Arabidopsis thaliana: one gene and its partner. The protein of the gene in region 1 interacts with the protein of each later gene in a pairwise test. Each region holds a gene or a part of one and is shown on either strand. Other genes may lie near its edges.

What was found.
Region 2: the proteins of ABCI21 (region 1) and PP2-B14 interact in a two-hybrid assay, tested with the Arabidopsis thaliana proteins (one large-scale study listed by BioGRID).

Annotation. Positions count from the first base shown.
Region 1 is NC_003076.8:17,752,234-17,758,787, forward strand, and holds ABCI21 (P-loop containing nucleoside triphosphate hydrolases superfamily protein), read right to left. Parts: upstream 3,536-6,554; 5' UTR 3,440-3,535; coding exon 3,289-3,439; exon of another isoform or gene 3,111-3,288; intron 3,012-3,110; coding exon 2,851-3,011; intron 2,767-2,850; coding exon 2,715-2,766; intron 2,636-2,714; coding exon 2,499-2,635; intron 2,415-2,498; coding exon 2,328-2,414; intron 2,250-2,327; coding exon 1,989-2,249; 3' UTR 1,726-1,988; downstream 1-1,725. Other genes in the region: ckl7 (casein kinase I-like 7), read right to left, coding at 1-52; CRA1 (RmlC-like cupins superfamily protein), read right to left, coding at 4,227-4,631, 4,747-5,193, 5,324-5,589, 5,713-6,013.
Region 2 is NC_003070.9:21,059,783-21,064,650, reverse strand, and holds PP2-B14 (phloem protein 2-B14), read left to right. Parts: upstream 1-1,603; 5' UTR 1,604-1,806; coding exon 1,807-2,058; intron 2,059-2,152; coding exon 2,153-2,271; intron 2,272-2,427; coding exon 2,428-2,905; 3' UTR 2,906-3,129; downstream 3,130-4,868. Other genes in the region: MDO1 (telomere-capping, CST complex subunit), read left to right, coding at 1-4. UniProt on the Arabidopsis thaliana protein: Component of SCF(VBF) E3 ubiquitin ligase complexes, which mediate the ubiquitination and subsequent proteasomal degradation of target proteins such as VIP1 and Agrobacterium virE2, after their implication in T-DNA translocation to the host nucleus (can functionally replace Agrobacterium VirF).

The DNA.
Region 1 (6,554 bases):
CACTACCAATTTTCTTCCCAAGCTTAAATTTCCCACCGATCACGAGATCCATCTTCTCCGATCTCTCTCAAACCTCAAAATTCCCAAAAATCGATATCAAAAAGAAACCTCCTTTTTTCGTTAATTAGCCCCTGGATCTGTTTTCCAATTCAGCATTTAAAACTCAGATTCACGGATTTAACATCGAAAAACCCTTCAGAGATTGAGATTCCAGAAGTCAATTCTTCATCAACGACCTTCGAAAACAAAAACCCACCATGAAATCAATAAATCTCCGAAAACTTCATCGCAAGAGACCCGATTGCCAAATTGATTAAAACCCTAAATCAGATTTAGAAATCGAACTAATCCCAATACGAAAAGCACAAACTTTTAGATGGATTTGACCCGAGAATTGGGCACGAAATATTGGGTAAATTGGTTAATACGAAGAGAGACGAGAAGAAATGGAGATTTGTGACATTTTTTTGTCGTGCCTTTGTGTTTTTTTTGTTTTGGGTTTCCTTTAGAAAAGATTTTTTTTTATTTATTGATAAGTTAGGTTTTAATTATTTTTACAGTCGGATAAATTAACAAAAATATCCAGATTAAGGTTTTGTGTAGGAAACAAACAAAAAAAGGTGTGTGAAGAGGGGAACAAAAGTTAATATGGTGGTTTTTTGGTTTTTGATATTTAGAGGTTAAGCGTGACATGCTCTAACAGTTGTTAAATTTTGCAAAAATTGTTTTTACACTAGTATTTTAATATTTTTTATTGTGTTACAGCAATTTTTGTGTTGAAAAAGAAAAACTATAAACGCAAAAGGCAAAACATGTACATGCTTTTCTATTTTTATATAGTTTATTAAAAATAAAAGTAAAACGTTAAGATTTAGTATTTATTTAGATTTCTCTACTATGAGTAGGTATTTCGGTTTAACTTCGGGTTTAGGTTGGGTTCGATTCGATCGGATATTTTGCCATGCGAGTGTTAAGAAGGATCCGCTCCAAACCAAAATTTGGACATAAACAGTTAAATATTGAGTTAATTTCAAATAAGGCATTTGTTTTATAAATATATTTGCTTTTAGGCACTTTTGACCCAGCATTCAAAAACAGGTACTATCACTACGTGAAAAGTCATCTTTCTCCCTCATTCACTAGTGTCATCTTCTCCACACGTTCTATTTACTCACTCGCAAAGGACGAGACATGTGAACGGTTTCAATCGTTGAATCCTCAACGTTTGGTTATAATAGTTTATTAAGTTAATGCAGCGTTGAAATTGGAATTCAGAAACTGATCAAAATGGAATATCTGGCCGATGAAGATGATGAATAGAGAAATGTCGGTATCAAAAACAATTTTGATATTCCATGGCGATGTCTGATTCCAAATTTTATGATTTCTCAAACAAAAAGCCAATTAAGTGAAGTTTAAAGAGGAATCGAGATGCCTTTGCGTTGATTTAGAATTCAATTATAATTTATGGGTTGTTGTTCAGTGGCATAATTACACAAATACACATGTATATACATGCATATATACACAAAATCAGAACTGAAATTCCATAAAATCTATAAAATTTTTTGATTGGGTTCCCTATATACTATCTTAAGGTTTAATATTGTGTAATTAAAAAAAAAAATTAAGTTTGCTTGAAAAATTAAGAAGAAATCGATTTGATCAGATTCTGCAACTATGTTCGATGAAGAAGAAGAGAAAAGAAGACAAGGACAAAATTGTCCCAATTGAAGCAATAAATCGATACTGTTACATTCAACTGTCTAAAATACCTATTTTGAAATAACTTTATTTAAAATGCCTATTTTGAATATAAGCTCTTAAATATTGGCAAAATAGTAATTTAATTAAAAACGTGGTTTTACAGAAATTCTTTCATGTGTGATAAAAGTTATCGGATTCTAAACAATGAAGTACCATAGAAAACAAAGGCATCTGTAGAAGCAGTGCTCTTATTCTTACTGATCTCATAAACAAGTTAAGATTCATCGGTAATATGCCATTTGTCTAGACGACATAAATGGAGAGGTAACAACAGGTTTCTTCTTCGTCTTTTTCTCAACTTTGGTTTCAGACCGGAGCCAAGCTTCAACAACAGATAGCAGATTTGGTGAGGTTTTGAGATCCTTGATCTCATCTAACTTGGCCGAGAGTTTCAGCTCTCCTCCATTAATGTAAGCCAAATGACTAGCCCATGTCTCGAGCCCGTCGAAAATATGAGTTGCATATACAATTGTAGCTCCTCTCTACTCAAATATAAAACATGAAAATCAGCATTTGATATTTCTAAACATAAGATGAGGGGGGGTTAGTGAATGGCTTACCTGTTCACATTCTTCTTTAAAGAACTCCAACAAATCCATCCTAGCAACAACGTCGAGGTCAACAGTAACTTCATCCAGTAGTAATACCTGTGATCATTACAATTTAAGTATCAGATATGATCAAAGAAAAAACAGAGACCACAATGAAGAGTTGATTGTTGTTTATACTACCTTGAACGGATGTAATAGACCCATACATATTTGCACTCGACGTCTCTGCCCATCAGAAACCTTATGCATACGCCATTGAAGATTGATATCAAGAAGATCAATCAACTTCTCTCTTCTGAAAGGATCAATCCCTTCAACTAAACACAAAACATATTCAGAGTATAAGCACAACGAAACAATTCACTAAAAACTCATACTAGGATCAGAGAATCTCACCTCCAAATATCATATGTTCTGCTGAGAAGTCTCCTTGGAGTGGAATATCACCCTAAAGAATTTTAAAGAATTAGAAACAAAACGTTCTCACATCAAAACTCTTGCAGTGTATTAACTTTGAGATCTCAGTACTCACAGCAGAACCAGCAGTTTTACTCCATGATCCTCCTAGGTAAGACAAATCACCACTACAAACAAGCTCTGTATCATGAAATGCTGAGCGATCAAGCACTTGTACAACATTCTTTCCTCCAACCATATGTTTTCCAGCAAGAATCTTCAATAACGTAGTTTTCCCTGTCAATGAAACGCGCAACGACAATCACCTTCTCAGCAGAATCAATCAAATTCGAGTATTAACATGATACATATAGTCGAAAAATCGATCTTACTTACTCAAACTCTATACATATAGTCGAATTCGACGAATTAAACCGAATTCCAACACTACCAAAACAGAATCACACGAAATCACATAATACATTCTATATTCGTCAAGGTCCCAAATCGATCTACTTCAGATTCACAGAAACAGAAACACACACAAAATCGAAATGATTCGAATAATTTTTACCAGATCCATTGGCACCAACCAAGAGGCAACGAGATCCAGCGGGAAGATCGAGATTAAAATCGAAGAAAATAGGATCTTGAACATCGTAAGAAAACTGCATTCCACTAACCCTAATTGCACCGTCCACCGCGCTCGCATTTTTCTCCGCCATTTTTTCCGATCAAAGAGTCAGATAGAGAGAGGGAGAGATTAGTAAGTAGTAAAGTATAACTCCTCTGCTTAATCTGTTGGCCTTTAAATACGTTCCGTTTTAAACAAAGACCTTATTAGCCATTAGATTTCGGCCACGTTATGTACTTTTCTGTCCATTAGATTTACATACTTTAGTCTTCCGCTAATACGTTTAACCAGCAGATAGCTGCCACGTCACTCTATGTTGCTCACCGACAAAGAATTAAAACGACGGCGTTACGTCAGTTTTCATTAATAAATCTAATTATTAATTTAAATAATAATATATGGTAAATATGTTTACAAGGTCCCACAAATTATTTATTTATTAATTAGATAAAAACACTGTTATTTTATTGAAAAAATTATGCACGGATTAAATTAGATATTTGAAATTAAAATTAAAGCATTTGATGTATTATAAATAGATAAAGAAAATGAGGTAATATAAATTTGTTAAGCATGACAATATTTTGGCGACTTGTCTAATGTTAATATTGGATTATTATATAAAATAATATGATGATTCAAATGTATTAAATCATAAAAATCAGAACTAGTCTCTATGATTAAGAACCTAATTTAGACCTAGATTTGTATTAACTTGATCGAAAATTGAAAAGATTTTATTCAGAAAAGGAGTTGCATTTTACAGGTAAACCTCAACAAAACTAGTCACATTTTCGTACATTATTATTATTACTACGTACTGTTTAACTTCCTTTTACAGTACTCGAGGTTCATTGTTAAGCTGCAGTTTTAAGCTCTTAAGCTGCAGCCACCCTTGGCCTTCCGTAGCTAGCTGGGCCACTGCTGTGAGTCAAAGTGGTCTCGAGCGTGTTGAACTTGACCCTCCTTGCTTCTTCGGGTGAGATTTGGAACCCATTGGTTATGACTTCAAGTGGTAAACCTCTCAAGACTGAGGTTCGTCCCGCCAGAGTGTTGATTTGCGCGTTAGCGTTTGTTTTGAACTCAACCCACTGGAATCGGTTGCTTGTTGCGCGTTTCACCACCGAGAAACCTTGTGGTACGGCTATGAGCTGTCCTTGAGAGACTTGTCCGTCAAACACTCTGTTACCATTGTCGTTTACGATCTGGATTTGGGCTTCCCCGTCTGTCACGTAAAGAATAGCGTTCGCGTTTGCGTTCCACTGTGGAAGCACCATTGCGTTCTACACCCACACACGTTTCAAGAGTCATGTTTAAATATAGAAATGGACATATTAACATGCATCAGGCATGCATATTTTACTAGGTTATAGTAACATAATATTTATGTTTACTTACTTGACGGATAGATCCACGGAGGGCTGAGAGACGGATGAAGCGAAGGATGGGGAGATCGTAACTGTTGAGAGTGCTGATGTAACCGAGCTGTGGCTTGTACACGTCAGCACGAGACGGGTCATCGAGGTTATCGGTGCACCTGGCGCTGCAGATGGTCTCCTCTAAGCCATTACCGTGTCGTCCATGTCGTCCTTCTTCTTCTTCCTCCTCCTGAGGTCTCTGGCCCCTCAAAGGCGGCCTAATGACACCGAACGGTCCTTGGACTCGGACAATGTTTCCACGGTTGTCATCTTGGTTCTGAAGTTGCTGTGCTGTCTGAAGATCGATCTTCAAAGCTTGAGCAATAACCTCGGGTCCAAATCCATTGAAAATGTTCTTCTGTGGCTGTTGCTCTCGTCCTTGTAGCCATACTTGACCTTGTGGGTTGTTTCCGGCTAAGTAAAATGGCTTCATTCATAAAATACCAAAAAGAATAAACCATATTATTTTTGTTAATTTGTAATTAATATAATGATTCTTTTGTAATGAGGTTTTGTTATATATATATATATATATATATATATATATATATATATACCCTTGGGTTGCGGTCAAGCTGGTTCTGGTGACTGGCTAGATCGAAGACGCTGACGATGACAAGTGGTTCCTGTCCGTCGTTGTAGAACCACTGTGCTACACCGGGTGTTGTGGCAATGGTATCACCGCTCCTAATGTGCTCCACTTTCTGGTGCATGTCACGGAACCTCTGGCTTTGACCTTGACCTTCGAAGCGTGGTTGGAACTCTGATGAGTCTTGGAATGTTTCGGCGCATCCAGGGATCACTTTTCCCATAAGACCTCGTCCTAAGAATGTAACACATAAATTATATAGGTTTAATTAAAGTTGAAAGATTATGGACTAATCCTAAAGAGCATGAACCATAAAGTCATGAATTCGAATTTCGATATAGAAAGAGTCGTACGTACCCTTAGCCACGAAAGAGAGCTTCGCGGTGTTAAAGAAAGAGGGCAAGTAGAGACCCTTAGACTCGATGATGTAACGTGCAAAGGAGACACCTGAGCAACGGAGCTGAGGAGCGTGGTGGTCCCACACCTCGATGCGACCAGCCTCGCTCTTCAGTACGTGTGACGGCTCGAGCGCATTGAGCTGGTCGAGCTGGCACTCGTTCGGAAACTGCTGACCCTGCTGACCCTGTTGAGCCGCGTAGCCATGGAAAAGGATCAAAAGTGTTAAGCAGAAAGAAAGAAGAGAAGAGACTCGAGCCATTTTGTTATTTCTTATATTTCTTACTTTTTGTGGTTTCTCACTTGCATTATGTGAAGCTATTTATAGGGAATTTATTTGATATTTTTCTATTAAAGTTGTTGAGGATAAATTGAATGAGATAAGAACCAGGTATATAGAGTCGACTATGTACAATTTACACTTCACTTAAATTGCTATTTATGACTTCATCCGAAAATGAATTTTGGCTTCACTCTGTAAAAAATAAATGGAGTTGACACATTTCAATTTGCATGGCTTATTCAAGTGCATGTTTCTTACACATCAGCTTTTGAGATAGGCACATTGTATTTGTAATAGGACAAATCTTTATTTTATTATATACAGCGGTTTCATTTCTCTGTTTTTGTATTTGTAATAGGTCATATTGTTTATTTTATTTTATTATCGTAATATATATATATATATATATATAAAACTGTCACATACGAATTGAGAAAATGTTTTATGTTACGATTACGAAAGTCTTTGATGATCAATTATTGATACGTGCAAATGATAAAAAGTTTATACGCATTATTAG
Region 2 (4,868 bases), on another chromosome or scaffold:
GTGAGGCTAATTATCAGTTGCTATCCAAGTAACATAACCCACCCACATTTTCATATTTTGTTCCTTTATTACCTTGTCTTTCACTTGTAGATGAATCTTAGGATGGTGGATATGTTTTGGTCTGCTTTTTCATATGAGCAATTTTCTGAAACGAATTTGTTTGAAATTGGCTAACCTGAAGGAGTTCGGTTTGGTAAATCGGTTAAACCGGTTGGCTTTCCACGGTAAATAAGCTCAAGTAGTTCCGTTTTTTTTTATTTATAAAATTGCAAATACATACTTGAATATAGAGAAATCTTCTACTCTTTTCTCTTAAGTCAAGAAGACATTGTTTCGTATATATTTGTTGTATATTTAATTCATTATTGTACCATATATTTTTTGTACAAATGTTATAACAATCGAAACTACCGAATGATTTCTTACCACTAGATTCAGAACTAAATAATGAACTCCTAATATTAGTTTACTATGGTCCATGAGTTTTGGCGGCTATAGTAGAGATGTTGGAAAAGTCAACTAGTGGTTTTAAAGGTAAAGTCAATTAATATTGTAACAATGTTAATGATTAGCGACTTCTAGTCAATAAATAATTCTTAAAGAAAGAAACAGGATCTTTCAATGTCAAAGGACTCGATGTTTGGTGTCGAACCTAATCAACATCCAAAATTTGACCCAAATTTAGGCATTCAAAAATAAATAACACAAGTCACCAACCCTTTTGCCTCTTGGCCACTAAATGACTTTTTAGCTAAATAATACCAACCTTTTTGCCTCTTGGCCAATAGGACTCAATGTACTTGTTGTTGTTTCGCTTGTTCAGAGTTTTCCTTGCTCTTATAGTTTCTTCATTGCACATTTATAAAGAAAATTGCAGCAAATACCAGCGCCTAAGCAATTTTGAAAGCTTTACTCTCAAAGTTATATATCTAATGTGGTGATCTTTTTTACTGATTAAAGTATCACCACTCCATCCTCATACCATCCATTCAAGTCTTTAAAATTACTACACAAAATATACAAATTAAATCATAGTGGTCCTAGACTCCTAGTGGATGAGAATCAATATTCGTCGTATATCTAACGGTACATCGTCCTCAAAGGCTTAAGCATTAATTTAAAACAATTTGTTTGCTTTTGAACTGATTAAAAATTAAACGGAGATTCGAAATACTGAACCGAAAAAAAGATATTGCTTTCAAAGACAGACTTTTAAACCGAAAAAACAAAAATTAGTCACACTACTCATAAGTCTCTATACGTTTTCTGTATGTAAAAATAATAATCTATAAACGTGTTCTTATTTTCAAAGAATCTTTAAACATTTAATTAAACGAAAAATTTACCAAATTATCAACTTACAAATATTTTAGCAAAAAACAATATGTACGTTGATAATCTTGTTAATTTTTCGTTTAATAAATCGTTTAGAGACTTTTTGAAATATGAGTGAAGGACAACACTATTTGCTCTTCCGCGTTAACTTTCTCTTTTGGAAGGCCAATCTTTTACTTTTGGCCAACGACCAAACACTTTTACTTCGAAGCTAGCTATAAATAATATATAAATCCATAATATTTGACCATTGGTCTAAAATGGTCAACAGAAATATGCCCAAGCATCACTATATATTCTCACCATCTCTATCTCCAAGCATACTTCATCTATCATAGCTACAAAAAATCAAAGCATCATATTTACTCACAAAACGAAATTCTTCAAATTCTAAGAACTCAGTACCTTTCTGTTTCATAATACTAACAATTAAAGATATATTAAGTTTTTACTCGGCAAAAGAAGAAGAAGATGATGATGTTACCAGAAGCATGCATAGCCAACATCCTTGCCTTCACATCTCCGGCGGATGCATTCTCGTCGTCAGAGGTCTCTTCGGTTTTCCGGTTAGCCGGAGACTCTGATTTCGTATGGGAAAAGTTTCTACCATCGGATTACAAAAGCCTCATCTCTCAATCTACTGATCATCATTGGAATATTTCTTCCAAAAAAGAAATTTATCGATGTTTATGTGACTCTCTTCTCATCGATAATGCTCGAAAGGTTCGATTTCTATGAGTTAAATTTGAACAAAAAAATGGATATCTTTCTTATTTACTTGAACTAATAATATCTTCCGTGTATGATGCAATTTCAGCTGTTCAAGATCAATAAATTTTCCGGAAAAATTTCCTACGTTTTATCAGCAAGAGATATTTCCATAACACATAGTGACCATGCATCTTACTGGTCTTGGAGCAATGTCTCAGATTCTAGGTCAGTTGTTTTTCTTTCTTTTCTTAAAACATCTAAATATGCTTTGTGTACATTTACTGAAAATGTTTACAATTTTTAATTATTACCATGATTAACAATAGATATATATATATATATATATATATATATATATATATATATTTCTAAAAATTTCAGATTCTCGGAGTCAGCTGAACTTATAATAACCGATCGTTTAGAAATCGAGGGTAAAATCCAAACCAGAGTTTTATCAGCAAACACAAGATACGGAGCATATCTCATAGTGAAAGTAACAAAAGGCGCCTACGGACTTGACCTAGTTCCGGCAGAGACTTCGATTAAATCTAAAAACGGTCAAATTAGTAAGAGTGCAACTTATCTATGTTGCTTGGATGAGAAAAAACAACAAATGAAGCGGCTATTTTACGGGAACCGAGAAGAGCGAATGGCGATGACTGTGGAAGCGGTTGGCGGGGACGGGAAAAGGAGAGAGCCGAAATGTAGAGATGACGGATGGATGGAGATTGAGTTAGGAGAGTTTGAGACACGAGAAGGAGAAGATGATGAAGTCAATATGACTCTTACAGAGGTGAAAGGATATCAACTAAAAGGTGGCATTTTGATTGATGGTATTGAAGTGAGGCCTAAAACATAATCAAGATGACTACGGAAGCTATGGATTGTTAAATGAAATTGAGAGGAACTCAGGGGTTGTGTGAATGTGTTTTACTAAATTGGTTGCATTTGTTCATTTATTATCGTGTACGTTGAAAAGAGTAGAAGTTTTAGTTTTCAAGTTTCAATTATTTGGCTCGTTGAAAATAATGTACAATCTTAGTGGGTGTCACGAAACTGATTAACAATTTAAATTTTTTATTATTAACGTAATCTTCGGTTACATAATAATACAAGTTGGAGTTATATTTACGTAGAGAATTATGTAGTTATATATTAGATGCTCATGCCATTTGCCATTATTTGTCTGTTAGAGAAGATATGTCAGAGAAAAAGTGTGTTCATAATGTAAGTGAATACCCTCAAATTATTCCAAATTACAAGTTATGAAGGACATGTTCCAAATTTCTTAGTAAATCACCTGAAATAGTTTAGTGGTTTCTACATGTGGAGGAGTCAGCATCTAGGTATGAGTAAGGGATTGATTCTCCTCAACCGCGAAGTTTACTAAATCTCTCATTTGGCTAGTCGAAATGGTATTATACCTTAAACCCATTAGAAAATCAGGTTAGTGAACTACTCGACGGCTACATTTATCAAGTGGTTTAGTAGGATAGTAAAAGCCCAAATCAGCACTTAATTACTAAAAAAAAAAAAATAGATCATACATAACTTCTATATATATAAAAATTTCCTTGTTTTCTAAATCTATAATTTTTAAATAATTATTTTTGCTTTTATTGATTTATATTTTTCAATAAAACGTAAGGGATATTATAATGTTGTTTCATTTCTTTAATAGATAGCTAAAAATACATAAATTTGAGTGAAACTTTTTCTATAATATATGATAGAATTAATTAAAAAAAAAGTAATGTGTGAAAAATCTACAACAATTCTTTATGGAATAAATAGAGTATGCTATTTTACACGTGTGGGTTCATGAGAAAGTCAAGTAAATGATTAAGTGTTGCTTAGGATAAAATACAGTTACAAAAGTTGTGTACGGTCAAGGAGTCAAACTTCCAAAAGGAGGGGCTAGTTTATCCAATACGCGCCCACCGGTTGCTAATTCGTGGTCAAATGTCAATAGCATATGATTTGTCAACACTAGTTCAATTAACTGTAACCAAGAATATCTTCACTTTTTGGAAATAACCAAGAATACTATAGTATGTTAAATAGGGTATGGTGAAGCCAATATATGTATCTGGATTTCCGTCCAACAAGAAAGAAAATTCAATACTGTGAACTCAAATGTTACTAATATATATATTTATTATATATAGTTTCATTTCATAGGAGTTCGGCTCGAGCAAATCACACTATCTTCCATAGTAGAATTGATGATATGGATTTATCGATCTAAACGATATAAATAATATAATATTATAAATATATATGTGTATATATATATATTATATTGCATAATTAATATATTTTTGTTTATATTTGGAGTAAAATTATTGTGTGTGGTTCATCTTCATCTATCTTTTTCCGGTTTTTTAAATCTTAATATCTTCATATGAATCTTCTTGAAGTTTTTTAGTTCAATATAATTATATATTTGTAATAGTGATGGTTGATGATAGGGATTCTTTTTTTTTGGTAAGTTGATGATAGGGATTCTTAAAATATTCAATTCCACACCCTTAATTAGCCTTGCATTGTCTTTTGTATAAAATTTATCGAATGCGATTGAATGAGACTTTGGATATTAGAAATATATATATATATATATATATATATATATATATATATTTATTTCTTTAATTTTTATTTGAACCAATGGGAACAAAATTTATTAGCATGATGTAGAAAGTACTTCCATTTAGCTTTCAATCCAGCCAAACTTGAATCATCTTAGGAGGTTATCTGTCATTTTCACTCCAAGTAGTGTGATAAGGAAAAAAATTAATGATATAGAAATATCAAAAATTTGT